4 linked regions of the Drosophila melanogaster genome follow. The protein of the gene in region 4 interacts with the protein of the main gene of each other region in a pairwise test. Each region holds a gene or a part of one and is shown on either strand. Other genes may lie near its edges.

Evidence for each region.
Region 1: the proteins of Droj2 (region 4) and D19A interact in a two-hybrid assay, tested with the Drosophila melanogaster proteins (one large-scale study listed by BioGRID).
Region 2: the proteins of Droj2 (region 4) and CG13405 interact in a two-hybrid assay, tested with the Drosophila melanogaster proteins (one large-scale study listed by BioGRID).
Region 3: the proteins of Droj2 (region 4) and CG4701 interact in a two-hybrid assay, tested with the Drosophila melanogaster proteins (one large-scale study listed by BioGRID).

The regions. Positions count from the first base shown.
Region 1 is NT_037436.4:6,184,997-6,191,363, reverse strand, and holds D19A (D19A), read left to right. Parts: upstream 1-2,240; 5' UTR 2,241-2,384; coding exon 2,385-3,330; intron 3,331-3,391; coding exon 3,392-4,983; 3' UTR 4,984-5,534; downstream 5,535-6,367. Other genes in the region: CG7386 (uncharacterized protein), read right to left, coding at 1-181, 240-1,550; CG43293 (uncharacterized protein), read right to left, coding at 5,598-5,660, 5,720-5,968.
Region 2 is NT_037436.4:72,956-77,062, reverse strand, and holds CG13405 (uncharacterized protein), read left to right. Parts: upstream 1-1,730; 5' UTR 1,731-1,852; coding exon 1,853-2,425; 3' UTR 2,426-2,609; intron 2,610-2,671; 3' UTR 2,672-3,118; downstream 3,119-4,107.
Region 3 is NT_033779.5:14,764,167-14,768,156, forward strand, and holds CG4701 (uncharacterized protein), read left to right. Parts: upstream 1-1,741; 5' UTR 1,742-1,840; coding exon 1,841-2,995; 3' UTR 2,996-3,059; downstream 3,060-3,990.
Region 4 is NT_033777.3:13,379,822-13,386,039, forward strand, and holds Droj2 (DnaJ-like-2), read left to right. Parts: upstream 1-2,284; 5' UTR 2,285-2,323; exon of another isoform or gene 2,324-2,382; 5' UTR 2,383-2,437; intron 2,438-3,000; exon of another isoform or gene 3,001-3,291; intron 3,292-3,443; exon of another isoform or gene 3,444-3,642; 5' UTR 3,643-3,657; coding exon 3,658-4,758; intron 4,759-4,848; coding exon 4,849-4,959; 3' UTR 4,960-5,462; downstream 5,463-6,218. Other genes in the region: CG8870 (uncharacterized protein), read left to right, coding at 319-391, 448-997, 1,075-1,522; mRpS21 (mitochondrial ribosomal protein S21), read right to left, coding at 1,566-1,682, 1,742-1,888; CG9799 (uncharacterized protein), read right to left, coding at 5,889-6,218.

The sequences.
Region 1 (6,367 bases), on a different chromosome or scaffold from region 4:
GAATGCTGGCTACGGATTCGGCGTAAACCTTCAGCAGCTGATGTGAGTCCACTTGAGTGTCACTGGCATCGCCATTTACTTGCACCTGTTTATAAGTTTCCAGAGCCCTTTCCACGCTCTTCTCATGAATCTTCAGATGATTGTTGAGACTCTCCGAATGCAGGAACTTTTTGTCACAAACCTGCAAGGCGAAAATATATCAGACTTTGGTAACAAGGGTATAATGGTAATTCCCTTACCTTGCATTCGCAGCGCTTCTCACCAGTGTGCGCCATCTCGTGTATTTTGCAGGCGTATGCTTTCCCGAACGTCTTTCCACAGTACTGGCAAGCAAAATTCCGGATTTTCTCATGTACGATCTTAACATGGCTCTCTAGCACCCGCTTCGTGTGGGTGGCATAGTCGCAGATGCGGCACTTAAACTGGTTCCGTTGGGTGTGGATCAGAATGTGCTTACTCCATTCCTGGCGGGTGGTCTTTCGCACTCCGCAGTACTGACACACGTAGTTCTTGATGCCAGCATGCCGGAGAAGATGATTCTTTAGGGCACTATTGATGTAAAAGCCCTTGCCGCAAATGGTACACGGATAGGGAAGCTCTTCGCCCGTGTGCGTGTACATGTGCTTCTTCATAGCCACCGGGCAACGAAACACCACGCCGCATTCCTTGCAAGACTGTTCACCCCGCGGAGCAATAACCCTCGCCTGGTTGTGAACCTTTTTCAAGTGAATGGTCAGCAGCCGGAGACGGGAAAAAACCAATTGACAGCCCTCCACGGTGCAGGGAACCGTATCCTCCTTCTTGGAGTGCGCATAGTCCACGTGCAAACGCAGTGCACCGGCTGTGGTGAAGCCCTTTCGGCAGCTTTCCTCCTGACACTGAAACGGCAACAGGTCATTGTGGTGCTTCATGTGCTCCTCGAACTTTGATTGCTTTTTGAACTTTTGCTGGCAGATGGAACAGCTCATAAGGCGAAACAGTTTACGCTTGTCGTTCGCAATCCGTCGCTGCCCCATGGCCTGCTCATCGTCGCTGTTGAACCCTTCCGACTCCTTTTTCTCCTCCTCCAGTCCGTTGTGCTCTGCACTGGAGAAGTGCTCCTCGCTTTGGTCCCTTGAATGCTCCTCTAGTTCCTTGTCAACTTTTTCCAGCAACTTGAACACATCCTCCTCGTTGTCAATCATCTCTAGTTTGTTATTCAGCAGCGGATCGAAACTGGCCGGCTCCTCTGGCCTTTCAGGTGCCTCAGAATCATCAGCTATAGATTCGAATACACCCATGGGCATATTCCTCTGGCTGGTCATCATTTCCTTTAGACGTTTAATAGATTCTGCGCACAGTTCGCGGAAGTCATGCAGGTCGTTCAGCTTGGTGAAACATTGGGTGCACAGGTTTCTCGGGAAACCGTCGTTTTGATCCGCATCAAACGAAGTGCACGCCCTGAGCTTCTGGAACAGATCTGGAACCACGAAGAGATCGTGTCCAGCACCATGCTTCAGGTGGACAAGGCAGGTGAGACAAAGCGATTGGACGGAGTACTTGAGCTCCATAGTGCCCATTTCCCTCAATTCTCGGGCAGATAACAATCGAAGCTTCTAAACAAATTTGTTCCAGTGTGACAGGCAGTCTGACCGTTTCGCTATGCCATTAACCCATTACGGTGTAGTGGGGTGGCAAGTAAACAGCATACTTGGATTCTTATTTTTATATTAACTTGTTTTAATGTAAGTGCTTTTTAGCAAGACCATGCATGCGTCTAGTTAAAATACATTTATTTATTATTTATTTTTGACTTTATTTCGATACAGAAATCTTGTACGTTCATTTTCGTATCAAATTTTCTTGATGCCCAGTTTGTATATTTTCAAATGTCGTTGCTTATTATTAAAAGCAATTTGTTTTACATGTTTATATATACATACTAATACAAAAAAATTTGTTTTATATTTTTTCTATATATACATACCATTATCTATATATTGTAAGTTCAGTTTCGTTTTTGTTACTATGGTGCTCAGTTTGCAAAATATTTTTAAAAAACCCTGAAATACTATTTGAAGTATACAAGCAATATCTATTTAATTAAATTAGTTGTATATATATATATTTTTTTTTTTTGTATATTGCAACCTAATTAGAATTGCAAATAAGAAGGTAAGAAAAAACATTGATTGTCCAGCCCTGAAACGCAAAACAACTACGCACTCGGACGAGTAACTCGCTGGCAGAAGTACTTGCTTATTGCCCACTCGCCCGATTGCCAGTCGACGAGTATACAATTTTTTCTGTGTCAATATTATTTTATTGCTTACTGACCGGAGAGAGACGCAAAAAGCTATAGAAAACCGCCCCGATCCGCAGTGCCGATTGCGATTGAAAGCAAGATGAACGAGGGCAGGCAGTACTCGATCCACAGCCTGTGCAGGATCTGTCTGAACCACCTGCAGAACGACGCCGCCTACGATTTGTATCTGGTTCCAGGACTTTCGAAGAAGCTATGCTTCTGCACATCCCTGTCCGTGGAGCAAAACGACGGATTCCCGAAGAACCTGTGCACCCTGTGCTACACCAAGCTGAACGAGCTGCACGACTTTCAGAAACAGTGCGTCGATTCCGTGCAAAAGTTCCAGGATCTGGTGGCCAGCAATGTCTTTGCCTGCCAGAGCAGCTTCGACGTCTTCGATCCCAACGTTGCCGTGCAGGACTACCCGGCCGAGGAAGAGGACCACGTCAACTATGACCCGCTGCTGAACCACAAGATGGAGCTAATCGAGAACGAGGAGGATGTCTTCAAGATGCTGGAGCACGTCGACAAGGAGGCCGAGGAGGTGGAGAAGGAGGCCAAGGTGGAGGAGGATGACGGGGGCAACGTTTCCGTCAAGATGTTCGACGACGATTCGTCCATCGAGAGCGGCAATGACAACGACCACGATCTGGACTTCGAGCCAAATAGCAGCGATGATGACATTCCGCTGGCCCAGCGCATGAGGGGACCAGCTACCGGATCAGGACCCCAGCAGGACCGTTTTAGCAACCTAGACAAACCCAAGCCGAGGCCCCGGGGACGGCCCAAAAAGATAAAACCGCCTCCGCCAGAGGAGGAGGAGTTGAGCGACTCATCCTCCGAATCAGATGACTCCGAAGACGGCACATCGCGGGGCGACAAGCCGAAGAGGAAGCGCATTCCCATCGAGGAACGCCACCTGCACCGCATCATCGACTGCCACATTTGCCACCAGAAGTTCAAGAAGGCCATCCGCTACGAGGAGCACATGAAGTACCACAACGACCTGCTGCCCTTCCAATGCAAGGTGGAGACCTGCAAGAAAGGTATAACGCTGGCTTAAGTATAAATATAAGTATCCGATCTCTATGAAATCCCACCTTACAGGTTTCACTACCGCCAATGGGCTGCGCATTCACATCGACCACGCCCACACAGAGCTGTCCGAGGTTCACGCCTGCATCGCCGAGGGCTGCGGCAAGACCTTCCCGCGCGTCCGTCTGCTCACCTTCCACATGAAGAAGGTGCACGGTATCACCAAGGCGGCTGCCCCGCTTCGAGATTTCCCCTGCACAGAATGCGACACCGTATTCCGCTGCCCCACAGCACTCAAGAAGCACATGTATAAGCACACGGGCGAGGAGCTTCCGTATCCTTGCAATATCTGCGGCAAGCGTTTTGTAATCAATAGTGCTTTAAGGGATCACCTTATGCGTCACGCAGGCATCAAGAACCATGTGTGTCCGTACTGCGGGGTGGGCAAGACGACGCGCCAGGAATGGAACGCCCACATCCTCACGCACACCAAGGAGAAAAAGTTCAAGTGCCGACAGTGCGACCATGCCTCGCACAACAAACAGGCGTTGTCCAATCATGTAAAGGTGGTGCACGAAAAGCGCAAGGACTTTGCCTGCCAGTACTGCGGAAAGACCTTCGGCAAGTCGCACGCCTGCAAGGTGCACGAGAGGAGTCACACGGGGGAGAAGTGCTGCGAGTGCAAGATCTGCGGCAAGATATTCCTCTGCGAGAAGAGCCTCACCAAGCATTTGAAGACGCACGAGAAAAGGGATCTGCCGCCGGCGGAGCCCCTTCGCCAGCAGCTTAACATTCCCATGCCCGGCCAAATGTCCGTACCGATGCCGGGCCAGATGCCGATGCAGATGCAGACGGATGGTTTGGTGCCAATGGACCCCAACCAGATGCCTAGTGAGGACATGCTGAAGGCATGCGGCGGCGGGACCGCTGCAGTGCCTCCCAAACCGAAGAACTCGCGACGCGTCCAGCGGGTGGACATTTCTCAGCTGGCGGGTACTGCGGTAAATCCAATACCATCCGTATCCGTGCCCTCGTGGTCGCCGCAAGTGAACTTCACCAAGAAGGAAGGCCAGCACATCTGTCCAGGCTGTGGGCGTGGCTTCAATAATATTGGAAACATGAAACTTCACTACAAAATCATCCACGAGAAGGTCAAGGACTTTGCCTGTCGCTTCTGCCCGAAGAGATTCTCCAAGGCACAGATTCTGCGGCATCACGAATGGATCCACACGGGCGAGAAGCCCTTCGAGTGCAAGATTTGTGGCAAACACTTCCGCCAGGAGACGGCACTCAAGAAACACATCAAGACGCACGAGAAGCCGAACCGGAGACACGTGCCCGAGCGCAGTGCGCCCACTCAGATCACGTTCCGCAAGCTGGAGCCAGACGCCGAGCCGCGTAACTTTGACCAGTATCAGGATCCGGCGGTGGAGCGGGCAGCGGCCACCGCTGAGCTGCTGGCGCACCAGCTGGAGGAGAACGAGGCCAAGCGGAAGGCGGAAATTGAGCGGCAGAAGATCGCGGCGGCGGCCTGCGAGCAGCTGACGAAGCTGCAGCAGCAGCAGGAGATCATCAAGGCGACCACCTCGTACGATGGCTACTATGCGCAGAAAGCGCAATCCGAGGGCACCAGCCTGGATGCCCTGAAGATCGACCACGTCTAGGCAGCAGGATTGGCTTTACTTTACTAGCATATATGCATCATAACCTAGCCACATCCATATGTATCCACTTCCAATGCAGCTGACACTGTCCGGAAAAGTTGTAGGCATGCCTCGAATTGCTCTCTAGCTGGATCAGATTGTAGGTTTATAGGCACTCCAGATTATTCGAGTGCATATTACAATATGAACACTTCATACTTTTTACGTACTACGTTTATACATACATGCAATATATGTATTATTTTGTTTTCCGTGTAATATCTCCCGTGCTTACTTAGAGTAATGGATTAAAAGTAATATTCATAACGCCATTGGAGTTTCCATCTGGTGGGCGGGACTAAGAGACCACTTTGCAATACCAGTGATTTTTACAAATATATTTTAATAACAAAAAACAAATTTTTTAGCCCGCAAGAACATTAATCAAACCTTAATTTAATTAAAATAAGTCATTTTTAGCTGAAATCCATCTGGATGGTTATGCTGAATTTTATTTCATATATTCCGTTCTTTAAATTTAGACAAATAAAGATGATAATTGATTTTTAATCGAATATTAAGAAACATTTTGCTGAACGAAATGATGTGAAAGGGGGATTTTACTGGAAAAGTTTCTATTCTGCATCCACGTCGAAATCTTCGGATGACCCTTCATTGTCTGAAGGATTATTTGACTCCTAAAACAAATTGGTTAATCTTATGTAATACATCTTTAAAACTTAGTTGATGACTTAACTGTCCAGTTATTACCATCCGTCTGATTCAAATCCATCAAACTTGAGATAATTATCTTAGCTGCCTTCCTGTTTTTGTTGGCCTTCTTCAATGCTATACTCTGCTTCTCCAGGACCTCCTCCAACTCTGCGATCTCCAGTTTAAGCCTATTTCTTCTATTCCCGGCATGTTGCAGTGCCAGTTCAGTGTCCAATACCTTAACTTCAGCTTCGAGAGCTTTTACGGAATCCTTGTCTGGTTGTTGCTCCATTTTTTTTTGTATACTCTTACTCAGCATGACAAATAATAATAAAGCTGCTATAGAAACAATTGATACAACCATATTTATAGACATACCAACGATTTAAGGTATTTTGAAAATCCTTAAAAAATTTATATTTGTTTAAAAATGTATTTAATATTTAAACTAAGACATATGTATTTTTTATTTTAAATTCTCAGACTCTTTGTATTGTATTGATCTAGTGCTAGTATTGTGCTCGTAGCTGTCCGGCAGTCTCACTCGACTGTGTGACTTGACTACGAATACACACACTCGCTGGGTCTAATACGCCCATCGTACCCTCTCCGCTGCGCACATGCATGTGAATGGGAAAAACAAAACAAAACGCCTGAGTGTGGGTGGCGAGTGCTAGAGCTGCGCAGTTTT
Region 2 (4,107 bases), on a different chromosome or scaffold from region 4:
CACACCATCACACGACTTTTTTATTACGTCCCCTTTTAAATTATGCTCTGTGAATGGGAATGATTAAAATAATAACAAAAAAGGAAATCAAGCGACGAAATAATATACTGAGTTGACAATACGTTTAAGAGGCCATTTTAAAATAAAAGTTTACCAGGACAGAGAGAGTAGAGTGCCTCGACTACAAGATACCTCTCACTCAGGTGATAATCGGGGTGGCAACTCACTGAAACAAACTGCGACAGCATACGCTGCGGAAGGAAAATGCACAATAAATGGAAATAGAAAAGTTTAATTGAAACTCATTCAAAAAAAAAAAAAAAACAATCAAAGCATGCTAAGGATCTCTATATCTGAAACAGATGCTCTCTACAAAATAGTTGCAGTGAAAAATGGCAAGAGAGTGGGCAAAGAAAAGCGCAGAAGGAGAAAGGCTTCATGATGAAGGATGCTTGTTGTTTGCTGCAGTTAAATTAAATGAAAAAGTTTAAAACTTTTTTAATGAAACCATTTTATTCAGTAGAGGCATAAACAAAAAAACAGTCCCCATTCCGTTGTAACAATAGCACAAAAAAGATGCAAGACAAAGGAAAACAAAAGTCTGAGCGGAAGAAAAACTTGATGCAACTTGCATGGTCTGAAAGGAATCAAAAAAAAAAAAAAAAAAAAAAGAATAAAATGTCCCAATAAAAATCAAAATATGTATGAGACTTAAAGGGGGTGGCCTATGCTTGCTTTCAACTTTGTAAATTAAATTGCCCGTTATTTGATTTAAAATGGGCGGCGCAGTCTTTTTGAGCTTAAGTGACGTATGCGTAATCTGAATGGGGAGCTAATCGAAAAGCCACCTTGATACGGACGATAAAACCCATAGGCTCTGGCTATGGGTGTTCGCTTCTAATGCAACTGTCGCTTTCAGGGACTCGCAAGCAATTGGTAATTACGCCAAAAATTAAACAGGGACGTAATCAAGAAAACATCAAGGATAAAAGCTTAAGCTTGGACCAAACAAGGTGCTTATTATTTAATTAAGTAAATTCAAATAAATTAAATTAAATAAATAAATAAATTTAAATTTGTATATCCCTATATCGACATATTCAATTTCTTTGCTAAACATTGTTCTCTACATTTTTGTCTTTCATTGCACACAACTTTGCAGGTACATTTTGCGTACATATTGTGCATTCCTATTATGCCATTCAATGCACCAGTTTGATATTAAAACAGCAACTTGTGTCGCTGGGCCAGTTATCAAATACATACCCTTTCTTTCCTGGCTTACAGGTTGTAATCTGTTAGAATTCACGTCTTAACTACCGGTAGTACGATGAAACGACCCTGCTGCGAGATAAACATTATGCCAAATTAAAATGCATTCTGTAGTTTCTATAATTAATGCGAACGCATGCCGTCGAGTGGTGCGCTTTGAAACGTAATCCACCGGATCCAGCCACAAGAAATCACTGAGTCAATAAAAGCGTGAAATAAGAGAGATGAGATTGTAGAAGGAATGAAGTTAACGGCGCAACAGCTATCATGATGGCAGAAGAACAATAAATCGTATATGAAAAGATCTAATAACGAGGGAAACGGAAACGGAAGTTATTGAAGTGCTAAAAAAAATGGCGAACTGAAATAATAAAAGTAGTTGTTGTGTGCAGTAAACTGAGATTTTACTGGCTCTAAGGTGTGGAGTTTTATGTTTACGTTTGTCGATCACATGATAAATCTACTACAACAATTTGTATTTGATTTATATATCAAAATTTGGTTTATTAAAGTATTTCATAATTATGTAAACTAATACCCCTGCATCGCTTAATACAATTTATCCCTAACATCCGAAGCAATGTCTGATGTGGAGCAAGAAGCCTCTGGAGACGTTGATAATGAGCAAAATGAAGGACAAGAAGCTGCTGAAGATTTTGAGGGAGAGGGCGAAGGAGACGAACAGGACGTTGAAGAGGAAGATAAGTTCGAGGTGGAGGAGAAGGATCCCTTTGAGCTCCTCAATGAGAGCGATGAAGACGATGAAGAGCAACAGGCAATGTACAAGGAGTATCAGGAGGTGGTCAACGCTATTGATGCGCAGAACAGGATTATAAAAGAGCTCAAGGCAAAGTCCAATCGACTGATGTTCAAGAAGTGCAAGACTTATAGAGACAAGCAGGAATACAAACAACTTAGGGTCTGTCAGGAGCATGAGGAGATCCATTTAAAGGTTCTCGTGAATAGAGCCATGCACCTCCAAAACTTCGGTTCACCTAGGCGCTACAGAGATATAGAAATGGAAGTCACAGAGGACGAGAAGAGCTACTTTTATACTGAACTACAATCGACCTTATCAGGCTTTTGTCCCACGGATTCGGCTGACGAATATGAGTCGGATTCTGAATCGGATAATGGACTATGTTGTACCTAGTTTCCTAGCGGAGTTTCCGAAAATTGACGGGGAAAAGTTATGAAAATACTTGAATAATTGTGGAATATCTTCATATTTTACATATATACATATCTACACATATCAACGACACTGCACTCAATAAAATGGGAAAGGATGGAGGGAATGTGAATAAAAAATGCAAGAAAATTTCAATAAAATGCAAGTAAATGCAAAATTTAATTTAATCCCTCGATTTCTAAAATATCTGCCTAGCACTTCTTTTAGCTGGGTTTAATAGTCAAGAGTCCAGACGTGGAGTAGCCAAATAGCGGGAAAGTGTAGAGCAATAGCAATAAGCGCAAAAACAAGACGATTGTGCCCCCAGACAGAATAAGGGGATCAAAGCAAAACAGCCATAAACAAATAACCGAAGAGGCACAGAAAGACGCCAGTAGACGAGAATGAATCGAAACGAACTGAATTGAACCAAAACTTCTCTCGATGATTTCTTCGTTCCCTCCTCCTTCTTTTATTATGCCTCAATTCTCACTCTCCGCCAAGTGCCACGCCCATTGTGGCGCTTGATGGGGAACACTTCGCAAAAACGAGATAGTTTGACGTTTTCTACACAACTGGTCACTGTTTAAATTTTATTTACATTTAGAAAGATTTGGAGAAAAGTGAAATGTAAATTATTTCGATTAAAAGATAATTTATGTGGACTTGCAACTTAGAAATTTATGGTTTAACCCTAAGGTGGAAAATTCAAAAGCGCGATTTTAGAAGGGGAATGTTGTCGGCGCCAAATTCGCCAACCCAATGTGCAGAAGCAGCGGCTTCGACCGCGTTGCGACGTCACCTTGCGTCCATTCACCCCGTTCATCATTGTTTATGAGTGTGTGCCCAGACACAAAAACAAGCACACATTAACGTATACAGCAAAATTCCTTTAACTGTGCTTCGATTCCATTCCATTTTCCATCTGGTTCTGTTTCTGTTTTTTGGACCTCTGCCTTGGGTCTTCTGTTCATGTCTCTTCGCCCCCCCCCCCCCCCCCCACCCAATTCTCCAACCCTACTGCGTTCTCCCGCTTGTTGTTATTGCACTGTCTGCGGCTTGGGTATTTTTTACGCGCCTGTGCTCCATTCCACGTTCCCAGTCTCCCCGTCTCGTTCCAACAACCTTGGTATATATCTTCGCCGCCCAAAAAAAGTGTGCGAAAAATACTCTAGGAAGATTCAGAATCGCGGAGTCGGATCTAGGAGAGTCGTAATTATTCATGTTTTTTTTTTTAGATACATGTATGTATGTATGTATGTATAACGTGTATGTATGTATGTATAACGTTGGCGAGCAAGTGAAACGGAAACACAATAAGAAGAAGAAAAAAGAATCAAGGTGTCATGCCCCTCCAGAACAAGCTTCAGTGGAAGGGCGAGCAGATGGAAAAAGAATTGCGTCTCGTGTTCATTTTTTTTTTTGTGTGGATATAGACTTTCGCTGGTGGGTCACAAACACAACCACTTATGAACCCTTTAAACCGATAAGTGTCACTCACATTTTCACTAGAAACGTAAATTCCGTATCGTTCTATTTTAGAGCTGGTATGTTTCGGTTCCAACAAATAATTTTCTAAATTAATTTCGCATAAAAAGTGCCAACCAATGCCAGCAACACACACAGGCGCCATAGTATGTAGGCGGTGGAGAGGTTCACAAATG
Region 3 (3,990 bases), on a different chromosome or scaffold from region 4:
TTTGACGAATGCTCCACAACTTTCCAAGTGAAAGCTCCAGCTTTTGCAACAATATAGGCACAGTAATAACAACAAAATATATAATTAAATTTTTCGTGTGCTCAGCAGAACGAACGAGCGGACTTGGAATCTGACAAAGAGGACAAAATAAGGGGAAAGGACTACGAATATAGTGGGTGGTATCCAGCGAAAGGTAGTGAGCGAGCAGGAGTTGGTGAAATCATGAAATATTGCATAGCTGAAGTGATTTTTATGAACTCTTCAAAAGTAGCTCAGTGAAAGGCGAATAGACAGTGGAAGAACTTGGGCTGTTTGTTCAACATAAAGGTTCCCGGCACGCTAACGAGCTTAAAGATGTTGCACAAAGTGCGCACTGAAATTGCATCCATAATGGCGCCCAACGGAGGCGGTATGATATAATGCTCAGTAAGGGCTCCCTTCGCCATTTTCCATTTCGGGATAAAGGCGATTTTCATCGAAAGCTGCGCCCAAGTCTGGAAAACTCTGTTAAGTGGGCAAAGGTCAAGAGCAGATCAGTTCAGTTAGGGCTCCACACAAATAAGCCAATTTTCTATTTAAGATAGATCTTACTCCGTAAGGTACTCTTTCAAATAGTAATTTAATTGGATTTGTTTAGAGAAATTTTTAAACGTGCCTTAATTCATTCAATTCAATTCATTTTATTTATCAATCTAACTAAAGTCAAATGGATTATGGAAAGGTTAAGTTTTACATGGAGTAAGCGCTCGTGGGATCCTCTTTGGTTTCCGTTAACTTACAACATTTTCTGGCTTAGATTGGATTTAATTTTTGATCGGTACAAACAGACGTGAAAATGTTGGATTAAAATGCTAACAAGACTTTTGCGAAATACCAATTTTTGGATGGCAGACAGAGACACCTGAGCCAGGAATATGAAAACTATTGGGCAAAAACGGTGGATAATAGGGCTCTGTTCGTAGTAGTGGAAACTTCGTCCAGACATTGTGTTGAGTAATTCTTTTGTAATGCGGAAGGAAGCCCAAAACAACACAGTGCACAGCGATTTCCGTGAAGAGGGAAAGGGCAGCGGAAATAACTTCAAGACAAAGCACAGAACTGACCTGCGTTCGGTGGGCTGGGAAAATTGGGTGGTAAAGGGGTTCGCAGATAAATTGCTGCAGTGTTTAGTTAATACTTCTGACCGTCTTATGGCCTGGCCTTTCGTCCTTGGCTGCTGCTTCCAATTCAGCAGGATACCGAACAGCGATGGATTCTCGCAGCTAGATACAAGGAACAAGGAACAGCAGCTGGCTCGACAAGTTTATCTTTTGTTACTGAGACAAATACTTTGTTGAGAGATACTAAACTAGAAAACATTCTCCTCCGCCTTCCATTCAGGCTTTTTCAGTTTTATTTGCCGGCATTTCTTGCAGGTTAGCGTCAAAATCCTGCAGGAGGAACAGAGGCCAGAACAGAGCCCGGAAAACTTAAACAGAAATTAAAACGAATCTGGACAATGCACAGTGGGTAAAAATGGCTTATTACTCCTTATTGTATGCAGTAAGTAACTTTGGTTTAATGTAATTTAGCAGAACTACTATTCATATTTCCACGTTAATCTTAACAAATCTTTAAAAAGCAACTTTTGTTTTTATTTTTTTTTTGTCTCTGGGAACTAAGAAAACTTTTTTAAGAATATTTTTCTACAACACTTGACAATCCTATATTATATTTCTAGTAAATCAGTGTTGTGCATCGCATAGCAGTAGGCAGTTAGTAATATACCGATGTGTAATTTTTAAGTGACATTTATTTATTATTCGATACTAGATTGTCGATACAAATTGGTGTGTGAAAAATGGACTCGCAGGAGGGTACTCAGTGCCAGATCCTGGCCATCGTCATTCGGGTGTGTGTGTTTAGCGCGTTAACGTACTACACTGCCAAATGGATGATCAATGCGCTGGATCCCAATAATAAGATCCGGGGTAAGGCGAAATATGTTGCGGAAGAGCAGCTGCGCAAGCTGAACTCCTCGGCGATTGGCGCGGCAAAGAAGTTTCGAGCCCGTGACTTTAATGAGCACGAGATGATGATTGCTTCGCATCTGGTGACGCCTGAGGACATTGATATCAGTTGGTCGGATATTGCCGGACTGGATGGGACTATTCAGGAGCTTAGGGAGACGGTGGTTCTCCCAGTGCGTCATCGTAAGCTCTTTAGCCGATCGAAACTGTGGCGAGCGCCCAAGGGAGTCCTGCTGCATGGACCGCCTGGTTGTGGCAAGACCCTGATCGCCAAGGCCATTGCCAAGGATGCTGGGATGCGATTCATCAATCTGGACGTGGGTGTGCTAACGGACAAGTGGTACGGCGAAAGCCAGAAGCTGGCCACAGCCGTTTTCACGCTGGCCAAAAAACTTCAGCCCTGCATCATCTTCATAGACGAAATTGAATCTTTTCTCAGGATGCGCGGTAGCAATGATCACGAGGCAACCGCCATGATTAAGACTCAGTTTATGTTGCAGTGGGATGGGTTAATGAGCAATACCAACATTTGTGTCCTCGTTTTGGGGGCCACAAACCGGCCGCAAGACCTCGATAAAGCCATCCTGCGCCGTATGCCCGCACAATTTCACATTGGAGTGCCGCGAGACTGCCAGCGACGCGAAATCCTTCAGTTGATCCTCCAGACAGAGCAACTGAGTCCTTCGGTTAATCTGAAGGAGCTGGCCCGACTGACGATTGGATTTTCAGGATCCGATTTGCGGGAATTGTGTCGCCACGCATCCATGTACCGTATGCGCCAGTTTATGCGCGAAAAGCTGAACACCGGCGAGGAAATTGGAAAAGACAAGATTGAATGGGACTTCGAGGTAAAGGATCAGGCCTTGCAGGAGTGGGAGCACTTGGAAATTCAAATGGAAGACCTTCTCAAGTCGCTGTCCGTCATGAAGGCGTCGAAACATCAGGCGCAGGGCACTTTTCTCGAAAAGGATCTGGAGTTGGACTGAGGGTGCCGTTTTGGGTATTGATGAGCATAAAATCGGCAATAAAAGCTTCGTTATGTGCTTCATCAATTTTGCAGTTTTCTCTTGTCTTATTTGGAAGATTTCTTTGTATAAGCCAAATTTTATATTAATTAATATTTTAAACTCTAAAGCATCAAGCCTCCTTTAAAAAAGTGTCCTTGTCTTCCTCCCACTTTCACTTACCGCTGGTCTCTCTCAGCGAATTGGTATGTTCAATAACAAATTCCATTGCACAGCCAAGCTCATTTTTTCTCAGTGCTTCGCCATTATCTTCCGGCTAGTTCTATTTTACGAGACTACGCTCTTTATACCTCACTTTGGCTCATCCTGCCCAGTTACCAACACCCCAAACTGTCAGCCCGACCTATATTTTTCACATTTCATGGCATGCATGAAGAGTTTTTGCAGCCATGAAGAGCGGCGAGTTATCTGAAAAAAGGTCTGCAACCAGGAACGGCTGCGAAAGAACAGCACCAGCACAGTGGCACAACAAAAACTCAAAATAACAACAGCTACGACAGCAACAACAAAAAATCTTTTATGTAAAATTGAATATTCATAAGTTGATTCACAGAAGCGGCAGAAGCCTAACTACGGACCTCAGCCTCCGCCTCGTTTGCTTCTGAATTACTCTTGCGAAGAGTGTTTTTAATTTTATCATGCATATGCAATTCAGTAGTAAAGAACTTAATTAATAAAGTCGGTATATGGAAAATGTTCTTTGAAAACGAAATAGGAGTGTTTACTTATATTTAACATTTTATTAGCCAGTCACTTCACTTGATTGCATTAAAAAATGAACTAAATACATGATTTGTTATATTTTAGTTAGTTTTTATATTTGTATTATTTATTCTCCAATTACCAAACAATAATAAATAATAAACTTAATAAATAAGCTTAAAGCTAACGACTTAAAGATCGAAAAAAAAAACTGTTTTTTTTTTTAAGTTCTTATTTGAGCAAAGGGTACTTTA
Region 4 (6,218 bases):
TCCTGCCGCAAAAAGCTATCTAAGTTATTCTCATAAAGAGAGAAAATCACTCAAAGCACACATATGGTACTCAACAGCAAAATTCTAACCAGAAACCGTTTTCTGCATCCGAAACTGTTTTCATAATGACATTTTTAAATAGTTCCGTAATATTTGAGAGCTCTGTCGCTACTAGCATAAAAAATTGTTCTTTTGATGAGCAATAAATTGATTAAAAATTGAATAAAACTACTCAGAACAATGTTAAAAATAAGAATAAATAGCTTCGACAGTCCTAACAGTCTTGAACAGTTGTATGTGAAATATTCGTGGATCAACATGTTGTTCGGACTTATAGGATCATTTTTGCTTATGCTGCAAATAATTCTTGTGCCTTATTCAAATGGTGCAGGTAACTTTCAGCATGCATAAACTTTGTACGCAATTTAAAATCTATCCTTCCTTCAGGGTGTCAATTTGATACGGAATGCGTGAATCTGGATAAGTGTCCCAGGACCAGAGCAGTTATGAACTCATCCAGGAAAAATATAATAGGTCTTAGAAGATGCGGCACTAATAAAGTGTGCTGCCCCAAGTGGGAAACGTATCTGCCACACGATACTTGTGGACAATCAAGAAGAAAACCTACGAAGGGCAAAATACCGGCGCTGAATGAGTTTCCCTGGATGGCCATGCTGTTATATGGAAATAAAAACAATTTGTCCCAGAAGCTGGTACCAAAATGTGGTGGATCCCTAATAAACAACTGGTACGTCCTGACCGCAGCGCACTGCGTGGAGTATCCATTTATGGACTATCCGTATGCCCTCAAAACAGTGAGACTGGGCGAACATAACACGTCCACAAATCCCGATCGGGCTATTGTGAATGGAAGAAGACAGTACGCTCCTCTTTATATGGAAATTGAAGTGGACCAAATTATTACGCATGAACAATTCAACCGGGGAAGGCGGCTGATAAACGACATAGCACTCGTGCGTCTTAAGTTTCCTGTGCGGTGAGTAATGATTCTCCTCTGGTCGAAATAGAAGTAGGATATGAATTGAAATAATATATCTTTATATCTTCCTATAGCTATACGAGAGCCATCCAACCTATTTGCCTTCCAAGAGCCCAAAAATTGGCCGCGCATAAGCGAAAGTTTCAAGCATCCGGCTGGCCAGACATGGGACAAGGAATTGCAAGTGAGGTACTCTTGCGCAGCTTCATCGCGGAACGGCATCCAGATGTGTGCAAATCAAATTATGACTTTAATTTGGGCAGTCAGATATGTGCTGGTGGTCTGGATGGGAATGACACCAGTCCCGGCGATTCCGGGGGACCCTTAATGGAGACCGTGATACGTGGAAAGGTCACACTCACTTATGCAGCCGGCATAATCTCCTACGGACAGAAGCCCTGCGTACTTAAAACTTGCAAGCCAGCATTTTACACAAAAACTTCATACTTTTTTGAATGGATAAAATCGAAATTGCAAAGTCCATTTATCGACAGCGACAGCAAATCTCGTACTAGAAAATAAGCAATTTATTTAATTCCTACATTTTATTGCCTCAAAAACTAGTTTAACTGCATCCAGGAAAAGGTTCGGCGCGATTTTTGCGCAGTACGAACTGAATTTTTCGGTTCATGTCCTCGTTGTAAATGGCCTTGCATTTCTCGAAGTTGATGCGACGACGAACCTATACAATAGTTTAATACAGTAAATAATAATAAATAGTTAAGTTATTTAAAGTCGAACCTGATACGGCTTTTCGTAGAATCGCGTGCGGCGAAATTGGTCGAGCAGTTCTTCTTTTCCCAAGACGCGATTTAACAGACGACACGCCTCCTCCACATTATTGTTTTGCACCAGAACGGTGCGGGCCAGAAACTGCACGTGTCTCATTTCGGATAAGTAGTTTTATTTTATAAAGTTTTCCAAATGTTTATTAAATAATCGGCTTTCAAAACAGTGTGACCATTTACTGTACTGCTAAACAGCTGATGAATATCACTAACCAGGGCTAACGATTGCTAATAAGAATCGTGGACTCAGAAGGAGTACTTTGAGAACCACTCAACTTAATAAATAAGAAAAATATTTATTCAACACAGTATTTATTAATGCATTGCCAAAATTATTTCTGTAATGCCCATCACACTTAAGAAATACATATTATATCCCATCAAATTATCAAAAATTGCTAATCACCTGAAAATGACTAAAATACCAGTTTTCGGACCTTTGCGGTGCGAGGCAACCCTGATGTTGTGGTTTTTCTTGCCGTTTGCCGCTCTGGTCACACTGGTTTCCAGTTTTCTTCCTAGCGTGGCGGCCATAGTAAGCTGTTGAAAAGTATTCGACGTAAATTAAATTTGTTGTAAAAGTGAAACTTCCAGGAATCGGGCTGCGAAAGTTACTATTTGCTTTAGGCACGACACGACACGAAAAAAGGTGAGCTGGGGCGGCTCTGGGCTAATTAAGATTACCACCTGATTTTGCACATTTCGTCTCGCATTGTGCGGTTTGCCAATGTGTGTGTCTACTTGGTAGACACTTCCTTTGCGCTTGGTTTTCTCATCTCTGTCGTTAAGTAATCATCGATAATTGTTTTTTGTCAGAGAATTTGCCTTCGATTTTTGGCATTAGATTTGCAAAATCGATGGCCATCTAGCTTTTTTTCTCTTCTTTGTTCAATCGAATTCTTCTGACGCAGCGTCTTGCGCGGCACATGTTGGTACGCATACAAGCGCAAAGTCTGGTGCATGTGTGTGCTAGGCACTGGTGAAAATATAATAATTGTATCTATTGATTTGCCTGCTAAATCGAAGGCTGCTTCTAGAATTCATTTCCATTCTTATTTTCGACTCTGCCCTTTCTCCTTTCATTTGTTCCCCTTTTCGTTCTTTTACGGTTTTTTCATTATTACCCTCTCCGCTTTGCAGTCGCCGTTCGCAAAACCAGGGCTGCAATGCGCTGACGAAAACTTCTAGAAACTGTGTGTATGTGTGCGTGCGAAAGAGAAGCGGTTGTTGTCGAAAGGGGGAAAGAGAGCGTCAGCTGCTCGCCGTATTGAAATACGACAATTGTTCTAGAAAATCGACTAGAAAACGTCGCAGTTATTTTCGCGAACACATGGCGGCGTAACGACCTTGAATCCCGGGCTCTAGCTTCCGGCAATGCCTACTATTTTCCGTTGCCCCCCAAATTACACGGAAAAAAATGGGTGATGGCATCAAGTCACAGCTGTAGAAATCAATAAACAAGAAAGGGTCATATGATCGAGTGGTTTCTGGATTTTGAAAAATGTATTTCTACAAAAAAAAATGGGTAACAAAATATAGGTTACTGATTTTTGTTTACAATACTAGTTAGAGAGGAATCAGCCCTTTGAACTATGAAATGTCATTAGATATAAAACTGACAATAACTTCCATCGGGAACCTAGCTGCCATAGAAACAGCACCACAAAATAAATTTTTTTTTTTCATTTTTTATAAGAACTGGCATCCAAATCGGTTGAAACTTCAAAAATTTTCGGTATTACACAACTTCATAATTTCTACCTATATATGCCTGGAGCATACACAAATCTGTTCCCCAATCTGTTATTTACAAGCTCCCAGATAGTAATTACGCACTACTTCGTCTGTTCACAGTAAACAGCAAACAAAATGGTTAAGGAGACTGGATATTATGATATACTTGGCGTGAAGCCTAATGCCACGCCCGACGAGCTGAAGAAGGCTTACCGCAAGCTGGCCCTCAAGTACCATCCGGACAAGAACCCCAACGAGGGCGAGAAATTCAAGGCCATTTCGCAGGCTTACGAAGTGCTGTCCGATGCGGACAAGCGACAGGTGTACGACGAAGGCGGCGAGGCGGCCATCAAGAAGGGCGGCGCAGATTCCGGTGACTTCCGCAATCCTATGGACTTCTTTGAGAAGTTCTTTGGCGCTGGATTCGGAGGTAGTGGCGGTGGACGCAGGCGCGAGAGGCGTGGCAAGGACGTGGTGCACCAGATGTCCGTACAGCTGGAGGAGCTGTACAATGGAGCGACCCGCAAGCTGCAGCTCCAGAAGAATGTGATCTGCGACAAGTGCGAGGGTCGCGGCGGCAAGAAGGGCAGCATTGAGAAGTGCTTGCAGTGCCGTGGTAACGGTGTGGAGACACGGGTTCAGCAGATCGCCCCCGGCATCATGCAGCACATCGAGCAGGTGTGCCGCAAGTGTTCGGGAACTGGCGAGACCATTCAGGAGAAGGACCGCTGCAAGAACTGCAGTGGCCGCAAAACGGTGCGGGAACGCAAGGTATTGGAAGTGCACATTGAGAAGGGAATGCGGGATGGCCAGAAGATCGTGTTCACGGGAGAGGGCGATCATGAGCCGGAATCTCAGCCGGGCGATATTATTATTCTTTTGGACGAGAAGGAGCACTCCACATTCGCGCACGCCGGACAGGATTTAATGATGAAGATGCCGTTGCAACTTGTCGAAGCGCTCTGCGGATTCCAGCGAATCGTTAAAACGCTCGATGATCGCGATCTGATTGTGTCCACACAGCCCGGCGAGGTTATCAGGCATGAGATGACCAAGTGTATTGCCGAGGAGGGTATGCCCATTTTCAAGAACCCCATGGAGAAGGGCACGTTGATCATCCAGTTCGAGGTGATCTTCCCGGAGGTGATCAATCCGTCGGTGGTGCCCACGCTTAAACAGTGCCTACCCCCGGCGCCGGAGGTTGACATTCCAATCGATGCAGAGCAGACGGTTTTGGTGAGTATTTCAGTAGTAGTTTATATCACGATATATAAATAATATATTATTTATAATTAATTTATTTATCGATTTGCTTATCTTTCGCAGGAGGACTTTGATCCCAAGCAACGTCGCCAGCAACACCAGCGCATGGCCTACGATGAGGACGATGGCGGCTATCAGGATGGCCCACGCGTCCAGCAGTGCACATCGAGTTAAGCGCCCCCGCTGCGTGTTGCATCCCCGGACACACAGCCCTAATAATACCCCAACCAACAAGCCGTAATAATATGTAAACCAGCTCCCGGAACACTGTAATTGCGCTTGCAAGTGCCGAAGAACTCCCAAAAGCACCTTAAAACACCATCCAATTCACACTAGGAGGCCCAACCAATCGAGAGATCTAAAGTTATTTCATGCAAGCTACGATATTTAGGTATAAATCAAAGAAACTTATCAGATATATGCACTATGTCTATAACGCGTGGTTGTTTGTAAACCAACATTTTTCTTTATGTTTATGTTGCGTTGGATTGTCAAAGAATCGAAAACGGAAACTGAAACTAAACTAAACTGAAATTGAAATTAGCCGCCACTAGAACCGTATCTAAAGTCCGCGCCAGCGAACACGTCTAGGAACAAGTTTAAGTTATTTAATTCCAGCATAAATAAAAGCGTTAGTTTAAACGGATATAACAAATAAATAATTAATACACAATTTCAACCCAAATGCTGTATATTCTTCTTCCCATAGTTCCAGTATCACTTGCCTTCCTCCGGCTATCTATTGATTCCATAATCGCTGCATAGTCACCCGCAGGTGTGAATCATTCGAATAATGCCAATTGGAGATATCAGGCATATGGCAGTAGTTTCGTCTTGAGTACATTATTTAAAATGCTATCTGGGATAAGTAAAAGATAAAAAGAAAGATAAGGATAGTTTGGGATATATATGGTAATGCCATTAAATCGTTAAGGATATAATGAGGGATTTTGTAGTTGTTGAGGATTATAAAGCATCCTATAAATGAATCTGCGGACCTGCCTGTCGCAAGGAATAACATCAAAAGCAAATTCAAAATGTAAAATGTTTTGTAAATTTATTTACAAAATTTCAAAATGAACTACAACATAATCTGGTGGAAACTAGTGCGCAAAGTTTCGGAGAGCGGCCACAACTCCAGTTCCATAGATGAGCTTCTCCTCCACACGCTGCCAAGCCTCCTGCTGCACCTGGGACACAGTGCGCAGCTCCTTTACCAAATCCGGGAACTCCGTCAACCCGAGACCGTGGGATCGCAAGAAGACGCTTAGATACGATTGAGCCAGCTCAAAGTTCAGATTGGTTCCAAACATGAACTTAACGAGTTTGAGGAACTGCAGCATGGCAAGGAGTGTTCCTCCAGCCTCCGGGTGCAGAGATTTGATCTCAAAGTCAACCATCGATGGTCCTAGTTGGGTCAAGTGCGCCACAGC